Linked DNA regions of Arabidopsis thaliana. The protein of the gene in region 2 interacts with the protein of the main gene of each other region in a pairwise test. Each region holds a gene or a part of one and is shown on either strand. Other genes may lie near its edges.

Region 1 (6,618 bases), on a different chromosome or scaffold from region 2:
CACAACTTAGTGAACAATTAATGATCAATGTATATTGTGTTGATGCTTACGAATGATCCACAAAGTAAGATTGTCTCTAAGAATCTTCATAATCAGTGTACTGTGTCCTTGTATAATTCACTCAGCGATAGTAGCACATTGGCATTGTCCAACATACAAGAACAAAGATCTTGCAACGACAAGATTTACATGAAGCAATAATTAATGAATAAAAGCAGCAACAAGAACAGAATTCCTAGTAACGTCTTTAGGTGACAAAATTTGTACCATCATCAGATATAGCATCCGGTTGCAGGCCGTGAACAATCCCAGTGGCAAATGTCGCAAACCTTATCTTTTTCTTCTTTAAGCTTTTATCATCTGTTTCCCCATTCTCCAAAGTAATAACACATATGGTTCTGGGATCTCAGAAGCTTCTTTGATTCTCATAGCAGCAATCACAAGGAGACTCAAGATGGTGGTAAGTTTGCGTGTGTTTCAAGACATAGAATTTTGACCCAAGAAAGAGAACCCTATAACTGTAAAAAATAGCTTTTAAGACAAAGAAATGAAGGCTTGAGCAGTTCTAGCGACTTTGATAAAGACATCTTCGAGCGTTGTGTCGGCGAGCCCCCATGCAAAGACTGTGAAGTTGGCTTTGGCCTTTTCAACAGCGCGAAACACCTCAGCAATTCGAACCTCTTGCTTTGGGAGCTCAAATTTCTGAGTACCAGCAAGGTGATATATCTTCTTGGCGTTGGGAGAGACAGATTCAACCAATCTCTCTACCTCTTCCTCATGTTTTGAAGATGTTGTCATTGTGAAGACATATGATCCACCGTACCTGCTCTTCAGTTCCTTGGAGTTTCCTATGCATTGCAAGCCTCCGTCGACAAAAATTCCTAATCTGTCGCATAGAAATTCGGCTTCTTCCATGGAATGAGCTGAAAATCTTGTCTTAACGTTAATATTAAGTATAATTTAGGAGGCATACTCAATCACATTCCGTAAGTGGAGAAACTAATATATGTATACTTGTGAGAATTATTGCTGTGTTTTGTTTTGCACGCTTGATCACATTCCATAAATTCTTTCTCGAGGCTGGATCAAGTCCTGTGCTTGGCTCATCTAAATAAACCACCTATTTTAGAGAGACCTTGAGTTTGTTAATAATTATCATGAGCTATTGCTAGACAAAATCACTCGACTAACAAGAATGTATGTACCTTGGGGTTCCCGATAAGCGATATGGCCACGCTAAGCCTCCTTTTCATACCTCCACTATAATTACCAGCAGGTTTGTCGCCAACTCCTCCATCGTAAAGGCTGACACTTTTGAGAGATTCTTCAACAGCCTTGAAATGATCATATATATATATATATATATATATTCTTGTTATTGTCTTCAAGAATAACAACACATATAAAATAAAATAAAAATTAGCCAGGTGGTAAACATATATACTTGTGTAAGATCAGAGCCCTTGATATTTTTAAGTCGACCGTAAAAGAGAAGATGTTCCCTTCCTGTTAGCGTCTCCCAAAGCAAGCTGAAACCAAGAGAATAACATTTTTTCAAAAAGTTGTTCATTATTTGCTTGGTAGTAAAAAAATTCAAAAATCATTTAGAGGATTTACTCGTGCTGCGGGCATACGCCCATGCTCGTGTATACTTTGTTCATATCCTTGCATATGTCCAAACCCTGAACCAAAGCTGTTCCAGATGACGGTTTGAGGAGTCCTGTCATCTAGTGCAGCAAAGAAAACACAGCAGTAGATTACTAAATTTGACACTCTGAAAACAACATTTGTTTGCAAAACTGACCATACTGATGAAGGAAGTTTTGCCGGCACCATTAGGTCCAAGCATGCCGAAGCATTCTCCTGAAGACACACTGAGATACAACCCTCTTACGGCCATTTTTGGCGGGTTACCATCTCTACCTGGATAAACCTTTTTCAAGTTGTCACACAAGATGGCATGCCCTGTGCTACCTTCATTCCTCAATTTTTGAACTGATTCCCTCTGATTATTATTTTCTTTGTTATCATGAGGGCTTTGAAATATGGAAAAATGGAATGGCAAAGAAAAAACTTGACTTCTCCCATACCTCTTGAGTGACATCATGTTTGTCCATATCTATGAATACTCTTTTAGAATCCAACCTTTGCACAGTAGGCCTCCTTGGTAGGGAAGAAGGACTTTTGAAAAGGTTCACCAAGAAAAAGAAAGGATGCTTTCCGGATGTGAAAACCTGATCGATATAGTAGGCTACTATGAGAGCAAGAAACCACTCTACTGACATGATACAGAAAACTTCACCCATTCCGCTATCACTGAGATCTTGCCACTTCATCCCGTTTCCTCGGGATGCATATTGCGAGAACTCATACAACCCGCGGTATAGAGAAAAGCCGGGATACAACTCCATGGCAAGAATCCATTCTTCTGCAAACGTACATACATTGTATAGTAAATAAACATGAGCATCTTTGATTTTTGTTTGTTTGTCAAGTTGTTGACTAAATTACCGGGGAATGACTGAGTTTCAATCATTTTTTGGAAAAGAAAGCTACCCAAGAGCCCGGTTCCGTACACCAGTATGTAAGCAATGACTACAATATTAATTAAGCCATAAAACAGAGAAATCCATTCAAATTTCAACTCTGACATGTTCTTGAGCAGTGGAATATTCAGGAAATGTGGTATACCTGTTACAGTCTTAACCTTTGAGAATATCGAAGAGACTAGAAAAGCGAGGGAGATTTGTAGATTTGAGTAGATGAAATAGAAAACAAACTGGATGCTGTAGTCATTGCGCCGGAAATACTTGAGTCCTATAGCAGACCCGAAGCCCACCAAAGAAATAACATACAACATAGATATGGTGAGAAAATAGGCATAGGAAATCATCCAATATGGACCATCGCCTAGCCCGTGCATTTTCATTATAATTCTTAGACGTTCTTGTTTCTCATACACCAATGATGTCAAGATTACCTGCATTTGCATGCAAGATTTCTTATTTATTAAACGTACAATATAATGGGGATGCAAATTAACTAGCGTGTAAGAGAACTTACGGGGAACAAAAGAAGAACAACCCAAGTGAAGAAAAGTGGCCCAAGCAAGGACGCAATGTCTTGATTCATTTTAGTTTCTTCTTTAGGAACTTCTTTGAGAAACTCAAATAATATCCTTGTCCCAGGGCCTTTTAGAAACTTAAGATAAGCATTTGATATCTGCAGCACGAGATAAATATGAAATCGAAGGCGAAATGCAACCATGTCTGAGAGTACATGATCACCATATATATTTGTTACCAGATTAATAGAGCGGGGAACTCGGACCAGCTTTAAAGCCTGACCAGTTGCAAACTCATCATTGTAGGTTGAGTTATACCATATGGTCACATTGAAATTTTTCCTATCCGTGCTCATGAGATCATATGCTAACGAAACGAAAAAGGCAGACATAATATAAATGGCATAATAACGTAACCACCAAGGATATATAAACTAATGGAAGATTTTAACAAACCTGCAACGATCTCATTTGGCATCCCCGCAGGATTTCCCCTCCAACTACCCTTGAAAAGCTCATCATTGACCTCTACAGAGTTATTTCTCCAGAGACACAACCCTTGAACACACTTCACGGCTGAGATAATTAATAATATAGACACAAACGATCATCAAAATGATTTATAAAAACAACAAAAAAAAAAAAACGCATTTCTTACGTCTAGATCCATGTCAAAACATGTCTCAGAGGATATGCCCAGAATCACTAAAGAACCACTTAGTGATTCACAAAAAACAATAAAAAAATTACCTGTCTGAATTTGTCCGAGCGAGAGTGGCCATGTAGAGTTTGCACTGCACGAAGGTTGGATACTGTAAATAGGAAGATCTGAGGCAATCCCCGGATCTTCATAATTGTCTTCCCCCGCTGCTTCTGTTGAACCCTGAAAGTCATATCATCTCTCGCTCGAGTAAAAGAAGTGGTTGAGAGATAAGAGAATCATGCAATGCAACTGCACTCAGAGATAGATGGAGAGAGATACCAAAACGTTATTGGCTAAAGTAGGCAAGAGGTCGGAGGAATTAACCACAAAAGAAGTGCTGAAGATATTTGCGGATAAAGCTTTTCCAAGGGGCAGTTTATCACCAGTGAAAAGTATCGTTACGGGACAAGAACCTGTTTCTCTGCATAACTTGTCAGGGAGATCTTTGTAGGAAAAGAAATCGGTCTTAACGGAACGGAGTTCATGTTGTGGAATCTGCAACATCGGAGGCAACGATGGAGGGTTTGGGATGGGACAGATACCACCAGGCAAAGTAACGTTGCCTCCACAATTAGACATATCAGAGACACCCTTCATCAAGGCATCAAGCACTTGTTGAATCGCCAGCAGAATTAAACAGAGGAAGAGTGGAACCAGGATGAGTCGAACATTCGTCCATATGTGTTTCCTCTGCCATTTCAGGGTTCAGGCAATTAGATCGTTATAAAAAAAAATATTCTAAGTAACTTGCCGGAAACGGCAATATGAAAACATACCTGGTAGGTTAAGTTCTTCCTAAGTAACGCATTGGCTTGCGTCCAAAAACTTGCTGGGCTAGGATTCACCATTGATGAAGAAAGAAAGAAGCTTAGGTAGTCGCACTTTGTCGTCTCTTTTTTTTTTCCCTTGCCAATTTAAGTAATCGTTTCTTCCTTTAAACTTGCGCTTGTTTTAAGTGCCAAATATATATATGTGGTCTCCAATTAAATGCGAAAAATATGCGAGGTCTCAATTTTACACATTTTTCAAGATGGGGATGAAATGTAGTCAATCGAAAAAATTGGACAAAAGCTGGATAGTTTTTATTTTCTTTCTAATTAATATTGGTCAATCCTTTTTTTGTGGGGTGTGTGGGAACTTTATAGATTAAAATTTTGCTTTTTTTTTTTCTAAGACAAACAATTTACTTCGAAAAAGAAAGATTTTTTTTTAAAAAACTTGATAATGATTTTGCAAGAAGGCTTGCCGCTTCTCTACCAGCAGTTCACGGCGTTGTTCGGGAAGAATCTATTGCTTTCATGGCGGAACAAGAGAGCCACGTGTCTTCAAATCTTCTCTTCATTCTTCTTCATCCTTCTCATCTTTTGTATAGAGGAAGCCATGAAAGCAAGCGACGCATCCTCGAGTGCGTACAAGAATATCACTGATCCTACACTATTGGTATCCCCACCGATTCTTCCTTGTGAGGACAAGTTCTTTGTGAAGCTTCCTTGCTATGACTTTGTGTGGAGTGGGAACAATAGTCGCCGCGTTACTGATATCGTCTCTGCAATTATGGCTAACAATCCAGGGAGACCAATTCCAACCAACAAGGTATTACTTCATTGGTTTCCCTTGGTTAAGTTTCTACGGTTATTTAATGTGTTGGATTCGATGTTGTTCAGGTTCAGTCGTTCAAGGAGCCTGATGAGGTAGATACATGGCTTCTGTCACATCCCTTGCAAGTTCCAGGAGCTTTGCATTTTGTGGAAAGGAATGCTTCAGTAATCAGCTATGGTGTTCAAACAAATTCTTCATCGGAGAGTAAACGTGGTCAGACTGAAGATCCTACGTTTAAGTTCCTTGTTCCTCTTCAAGTCGCTGCAGAGCGTGAAATCGCAAGGTCTTTACTTGGAGATCCAAATTTTGGTTGGGGTTTGGGATTTAAGGAATTTGCAAGACCAGCTATTATAACTGAAACTACCTCTGCACTCTCAGTCATGGGACCAGTGTTCTTTCTTGCTTTCTCCATGTTTGGTTTTGTTCTCCAACTCGGTGCCCTGGTCACCGAGAAAGAGCTAAAACTTCGGCAGGCAATGACAATGATGGGTGTTTATGATTCTGCATATTGGTTGTCATGGCTAACCTGGGAAGGAATCCTTACCCTTGTCTCCTCACTTTTCTTGGTCCTCTTTGGAATGATATTCCGCTTTGATTTTTTCTTGAAGAACAGTTTTGTTCTTGTCTTCCTACTTTTCTTGCTTTTTCAGTTTAATATGGTAAAAATCCTTCATTTTTTCTAATTAGTTTTTTTTTTTAATGTATTATCCCTAGTTTTTAAGTTATCAATTTACTTGTGTTGCTAGATTGGCCTAGCATTTGCGCTATCATCTATCATTAGCAAATCATCTTCGGCAACAACTGTCGGTTTCCTTGTGTTTTTGATTGGTTTTATAACACAGGTATGATAACTTGTCTAGCTAAAAATAGTAATTAATAAACTGGTTCTTGATCAAAATCTTTAATATCTTACTTGGTTACAATTCTAATTGCAGTTTGTATCAGCTACTGGATTCCCTTATTCCAGCTCATATGCAGTTTCTCGCCGGGTGATGTGGTCTCTTTTTCCACCCAACACTTTTTCTGCGGGACTTAAGCTTCTTCTTGATGCAACCTCAACTCCCAAAAGCTCTGGAATCAGTTGGAGTAATAGAGCCGTATGTGAAGGGGGCCAAGCGACTTGCGTAATTTCTATTGTATGCAGACATTCAAAATAAATTTTACTAGTTACGTTGTCTAATAGCATTCTCTAACAAGTATTTTAAATTTTGGTAGAACATTATCTACCAGTGGCTCCTTGGGACATTCCTAT
Region 2 (6,412 bases):
TTTACTTCTTTGTAATATTTACAGGATTCCAAAGAAGTACATTTTGTTATCGATCAAATCCGAAATTTTAACCTCTTTGTTGACAAACAAGAACACAGATTCGATCTTAATAAGCTCACAAGAAGAAACCTTATCCATGTTCTCTCAATTGTGGCCTCTGTTTATCTCACGTGGTAAGTCTAACACAGCCAAAACAAGATCCAACACAAAAACTTGCCAGAAAACACGAATTAAGTTGTCTGCAATCTAGAGATCTCGTTCATACTACTGTGTAATAAGAGAACCAGAACCGCCTACCAAGTAAAAAAAAGAGTCAACTTTTACATAGTTTTTTTAAGAATGACTTACGAAGATTTCATCTTTACATTGTACTTGCTGATGTAACTTAAAGCTCTGGTTACTTACTCTCAGGACAAACATGGTCCACTTGTGACATATCAATTAAACCCCTAACAATCAGTCAGATTCTGTTTCTAACACAATCACAAGTCCCTGTGACTCCTAGGAAGATAATGAATCTTAAATGAAGGCAGACCTAAGAATGACGTATCTGTTCTAAGCAGTTGTGTCCTTTCACCCTTTTTGAAACAAGGACAAAAAGTTTCTTCCTTGAAGAGGAATAGTGCTTACTTGTGCTCAACCAAACGATGACGACATATAAGTATATAACTATACCAATATAAACCAAAGCAGAGGAACACGAGAAAGTGAAAAATGTAGAAACTTTATTGATTTTATTGTTAATGAGAATGCTGATACAAAAACCCTTCATCAGATCTTACTTAGCTTTTAGCGCTCGATTTGTATCGTGACATGACTAATGTTGTACTCCCTGCGGATGTAATCAATTACCTTGTTGAGCACCATATCTGCATCTGCTTCTGGTCTGATATTGACATGGCAAGCCAATAGCACTTTTCCCACTGTGATAGCCCATATGTGGAGCTCATGAACAGCCACCACTTCTTCCATTTCGAGCAAACCCTTTTCGAGCTTTGTGGCGTCAATCTCTCTGGGTGTACTCTCCATCAATACTTCTAGAATGTTGCGAATCATGTTGATGGTTGTTCCTAGGACAATAACCGAAAAGGCAAGTGTGCAGATCAGATCCACTATCTTCCATTCCGGATTGTACCAAATGATAGCTCCTCCAATCATAACACCAACACTCTGGATGGAATCCCCAAGGACATGCAGATAAGCTCCTTGGAGATTGATGTTTCTCTTTCTTTTCTCTTTTGCTGCGACTTGAGTCTTCGATTTGTCCAACAATTGCTCAGTAACATCCCCATGAGCATGATGCTTGTCCTCTCCATGACCATGACTATGGCCATGTTCATGATCGTGATGATGGTGATGAGTGGTAACAGTCACCCCATGGCTATGATTGTGATGGTCATGGCCGTGGCCATGCCCATGTCCATGACTGTGACCATGATCATGCCCTAGCAGAACAGCCATTATGATGTTCACCACTAGACCAAAGGCAGCAACCAGAAACATGAGGAATCCATTAACCTCACTGGTCTCTGTAACAATTCTGATAATCGCTTCATAAACCAGAATACCCGTGAGCAACCAAATGAGCTGGATAGATACAAGAGCACCCAAAATCTCAATCCTGAAGAACCCGTAAGTCTGCCTAGGAGTCGCTTCCCAGCCAGCAGCCCACAATGAGAAGAGGGAGATAGCAAAGGCAGCAACGTCAGAGAGCAAATGAGCTGCATCGGTTAATATAGCTAAACTATTGGCTTTAATCCCACCAACAACTTCAACACTCATGAACACTAGACACAGCACGACGGCGATACAAAGCTTCCGCATAGAAGCAGAGCGTTCGTGAGCATCCCCGGAAGCATTCTTAGAATCTGAAAACCCACATGGTGCTTCTCCACAGACTTTACTCGCCACAATTATTCTCTCTTCATCAGATTTTCCAACATTAACCTCAACAATGTGACTATGGTGGGGACTTGAAGACTCCATCTGCATAAGAAAAAAAATAGAAGAAAGCTCAGACAACAACGAAAATCCTGATGGATGTACAGAACTCAATACCAACAAACACAAAATAAAGTTACCTCTACAATAAAGATAGTGGAAACCCAATTCAATAGAACCACAAGAGTTTTCTTATTTGGTGATCTGTTTCAACAAAAAAGAAAGCAAATTTATCCAGAAATATCAAATCAAAGGACAAAGACATGTATCCCACCACATTCCCACTACTGCTACAAAAAGGAGGAACTCGTCAAGCAAACAAACAGTGTCAACGCTTTCACACCATATAATAACACAAAGAGTCAAAACCCTAAAATACAGATTCAAGTTTGACCCCTCAGTAAATAAAACTACTGTTTGTATAAACAGAATCAAAGTGTCCCAATCAGATAAATTCCAGATGGCAGAGTCAGAAAGTGAAAAAACAACAAACCCTAACACGAATAATAAAAACAGAGGCAAGCAAAAAGGTCAGATTTTAAAGAAAACCCGAACCCTAAAAAAGTGGCGAGAGGAAGAGAAGGGCTCACCAGGAAGAGATACAAAAGTTGCAGAAATTGAAGATTCTCAGTAGTATATAAGAATCTATCTCTGGGTAAGGGGCCAAAAGAAGAAAGCTATTTAAAAAAGATATGGGGGAGCTCCACCGATTTCATGAGAGATCCACCTAACCCTTTTTTTGGGTCCCCTTTCTCTCTTATCTCCTTCGACATCTCTCTTAATCGGAATCTCTTTCGTTGACGGTGAACATGATGAACACGTGGCCGTTTTTTATGGTCCGTAATTTTTGCTGTCTTTTTTTTTTTTGCTTTTTTTTTACCTGTGTATAATGATTGGGTATCTTGTCAAACCGGTGAAATTTTTAATTTAAACCAATCAATCTAGTGGCTTTTTTAATCGGTTTCATATATTGGTTCGCAGAAGCGGTTTAGCAAAATGATTGGGTTTTCACTTTTGAGGGTTTATTGAATTGACTAAGAAGAAAAATTCCAAAACATAATTTAAAATTTAGTTATGTGAAAACTTCGAATACCAAACTTTATAGATTAACTAAGGATATGATGTTTATGTACGGTTAGTTTTGACATATTTAAACTTTATCACTTAAACTAGTTCTTAAAAAGTTTTAGTGAATTAATTTCTTAAATTTAGTAAAAACAATCAACATTTTTCAAAAACTAATTATAAGTATTACAAACACCAAAGCTTACGGATCAACTAAATATGAGATATCTATGTGCGGTTAGTTTCAACGTGATTAAAATTTACCATTTAAACTAATTTTCAAAAAGTTTTAAATGAACTGATTTTTTAAAGTTTAAGTGTTAAATTACGTGAAAACTTTCCAAACTTCGAACACCAAAACTTACGGACCAACTAAGTACGAGATGCTTAGGCGCAATTAGTTTTCAACGTGTTTAAAATTTACCACTTAAACTAAGATTTAATTTTATTTTTTTAAACAAGTGTTCAATACCTAAATAATTTGTAAACCATATTAAACCTAAAACACCACCTACATGTTTGAATCTTGTATTCAATTAGATTACACAAAATTAAAAAAAAAAAATTATCCCAAAAAAACATTAAAGGTTTAATAGTAATGTAAAAATATAAGTCTAAAAACATTTTTTAATAAATGAAAAACAAGTGTTAAAAACTTAAATAATATGTAAACCATATATTAAACCTATAAATGAAACCTTAAAACCTTAAAGATCTAATAGTAGTATAAAAATATAAGTTTAAAAGCATTTTTAATAAAAGCAAAACAAGTGTTAAAAAGTTAAATAATGTGTAAACCATATATTGAATCTAGAACAGTTTTTAGGGGTTTGGATGATGTATCCAATTAGTTTACACAAAAATTAAAAATTTAACACTTATCCAAATAAAAAAAAACCTAAAGATTTAATAGTAATATGAAAATATATAAGTTTAAAAATATTTTTAACGAAAGCAAAACAAGTGTTAAAAAGTTGAATAATGTGTAAACTATATATTAAACCTAGAACACCTCTTAGGGGTTTGGATGATGTATCCAATTAGATTACACAAAATTTAAAAATTTAACACTTATCCAAATAAAAATACCTTAAAGATTTAATAGTAATATGAAAATATGTAAGTTTAAAAACATTTTTAATAAAAGCAAAACAAGTGTTAAAAAGTTAAATAATGTGTAAACCATATATTGAACCTGGCACACCTCCTAGGGGTTTGGATGATGTATCCAATTAGTTTACACAAAATTTAAAAATTTAACACTTATCTATATAAAAAAAATCTAAAGTTATAATAAAATATAGGTGTAAAAACATTTTACACTTAAACTAATGAAAATATATAAACATTTTAGTTATATAAATGTTATGGTGAAACTAATTAGTTTTACTTAAAAATAATTTTGAAGGTAAATAAAACAAAAAAAAAAAGAATGAAAAAAGTAATACCTTGTTGGATTTAGTAGCAAAAAGGGCCCATAGAGCAAAGCCCATTCCAAAGTCAGATTTGAGCCCGTCGGTCTTTGGTAGCCCTCTCGTGACATCATCCACCACCATAAAGCTCTCCCCTCTCTTGGCTATATCCTCCTCTTTGTAGTCTCCTCTTTGAAGACAAAATTGTCTTGAGAAGAGAACTAGGGTTGAAGAATAAGAAGAAGCGAGAGATAGAGAGTTTTGATTTGTCGAATGTTTTAGAAGAAGCGTTGAGACTCTCACTAATTATTTATTTATAAGCAAAGAAAAGGAAACTGATAATCACAATTAACGGTCACAAAATCTTAGTTTAACGGTCACAAAAAAAGATTTCTTTGTTGATTTTTCTTTCGATAGCTTTTGTTTCCTTTTTTTGTTTCTCTGACTGTGAGAGAATTAATGTGATGAGTTTTAATACATAGACTATAGCAATGGTATATAAATCAAGTTTTATAGAATCTGTTTCTTGTTGGTATGTATCGAGAGAGAAGCGGCCTGGATATGATCACAACAAGAAATATTTCTCAACTTAACGAAATTGGAATTACTGTTTTAGCTTAGCCTGATCATTTGCAGACATATATACAAAAGTTGCCCCAGTATCTCATATTAGCTGAGAAGAAGAAGCCAATCAAATACATAAAAAAAAAAAGCACACTAAAGATTGCAAAAGCTAAATAAGTTTCTGTTATAAAATCAACAAAAGAAATCAGAGGAAAAACTGAAAGAGCTCTTCATGATTTTGTAGACGCGTCTGAATTCACGGTTCGCACGAACTGGCCTTTCACTCGAGGACGTTGTTCTGCTAGCTTCTTCCTGCTCTGGTACCGAACCTGTAATCCATTTTTATACATCTCCATTGAATCAGTTTGATCTTGTATTTGTTTCAGATGCTGTTTTTATGATGAAGCTTGTGTGTCTCTTACCTTTTTGTCAAAGCATCGATCTTTCCTCTTCAACCGGAACTTCATCAATGCAGCTTCTCTCTGGCTTCTACTCCAACGTTGTTTCGCACTTTCTTCTTCCTTTGGTTTCTCTGTGCTACTGCTTTGTCCAGCAATCCCCTCATTGGTGCTTTGAGAACCAGCTTCTACTTCCTTGCTAGCTGCTTTCTCGCGATTTGATTCTACCGGTATGGGTGAATCTTGCTTCTGATTCGTTACTGTGGACTGAAGAACTTGGTTACGGAAGCTTACGCTTGATGATCCGATATTCTCCTGGTTGCTGCTCGTTGTGGCGCTTCCTTGATCAGATGTTACTTTTCTTAACTTTTCATGTGATTCGGTTGGTGTCTTTGGCTCACCTGAAGTACTCTCCTCTAAAGCAACGACGGCTTTTTCTGCTGACTTGCTTTCCTCAAATCTGCAAGTTAAGTAGAGTTATTGATTAAAAACACTAATTACAAGATTTGAGGCATTCTTTATTCAAGCAAGGAAACATGCATACCTTGAGAAGGCCGACGCATCAGAGAGGCTAAGCTTTTGATGCTTGCTTTCATCTTGGTTCTCAAAACTTACAGAGCAAGATCTTTTCAGAGAAAGTCCAAGCTCAGGACCAACACACTCATCTCGACTCTTGTCTTTATAAATACTATCAGGACGCTTGTCAATTCCACCAATCAAATCCATTGTCACATCAAAAGTTTCCTTAAACTCGTCTCTTTCATCCACTGATTTGCCATTCTCCATCAGCTTATTGTGACCATTGTAATTGATAGCCTGCATAAGCATGTACACGATATTAGCTTCTACTAAAATGAGATAAACATGAGATATACAATGCAATCTCAAGATGAAAATCTCACAACTCATACAAAACACAATTCAGAAGGACCAGAACATATATTATGTAAAACTCAGATGGTAATATTTATTATACCTGAGCACCACTTCCTTGATCTGAATGATATCTGGAATCTTCACAAGTTTCATCAG

What was found. The genes of interacting proteins can lie anywhere in the genome.
Region 1: the proteins of ZAT (region 2) and ABCA12 interact in a protein complementation assay, tested with the Arabidopsis thaliana proteins (one large-scale study listed by BioGRID).

Annotation. Positions count from the first base shown.
Region 1 is NC_003076.8:24,791,861-24,798,478, reverse strand, and holds ABCA12 (ABC2 homolog 16), read right to left. Parts: upstream 4,616-6,618; coding exon 4,544-4,615; intron 4,458-4,543; coding exon 4,047-4,457; intron 3,948-4,046; coding exon 3,815-3,947; intron 3,641-3,814; coding exon 3,521-3,640; intron 3,432-3,520; coding exon 3,304-3,431; intron 3,223-3,303; coding exon 3,064-3,222; intron 2,981-3,063; coding exon 2,692-2,980; intron 2,596-2,691; coding exon 2,512-2,595; intron 2,429-2,511; coding exon 2,091-2,428; intron 2,006-2,090; coding exon 1,805-2,005; intron 1,728-1,804; coding exon 1,618-1,727; intron 1,530-1,617; coding exon 1,445-1,529; coding exon of another isoform or gene 1,385-1,444; exon of another isoform or gene 1,335-1,384; coding exon 1,206-1,334; intron 1,121-1,205; coding exon 1,015-1,120; coding exon of another isoform or gene 974-1,014; exon of another isoform or gene 924-973; coding exon 535-923; downstream 1-534. Other genes in the region: ABCA11 (ABC2 homolog 15), read left to right, coding at 4,992-5,360, 5,432-6,025, 6,113-6,208, 6,302-6,502, 6,582-6,618.
Region 2 is NC_003071.7:19,233,702-19,240,113, reverse strand, and holds ZAT (zinc transporter), read right to left. Parts: upstream 4,741-6,412; 5' UTR 4,455-4,740; intron 2,944-4,454; exon of another isoform or gene 2,822-2,943; 5' UTR 2,082-2,821; intron 1,987-2,081; coding exon 790-1,986; 3' UTR 537-789; downstream 1-536. Other genes in the region: AT2G46810 (basic helix-loop-helix (bHLH) DNA-binding superfamily protein), read right to left, coding at 349-420; PRR9 (pseudo-response regulator 9), read right to left, coding at 5,213-5,311, 5,405-5,840, 5,925-6,196, 6,357-6,412. UniProt on the Arabidopsis thaliana protein: Mediates zinc accumulation in roots and confers resistance to zinc. Involved in sequestration of excess zinc in the cytoplasm into vacuoles to maintain zinc homeostasis. Can also transport cadmium with a low efficiency.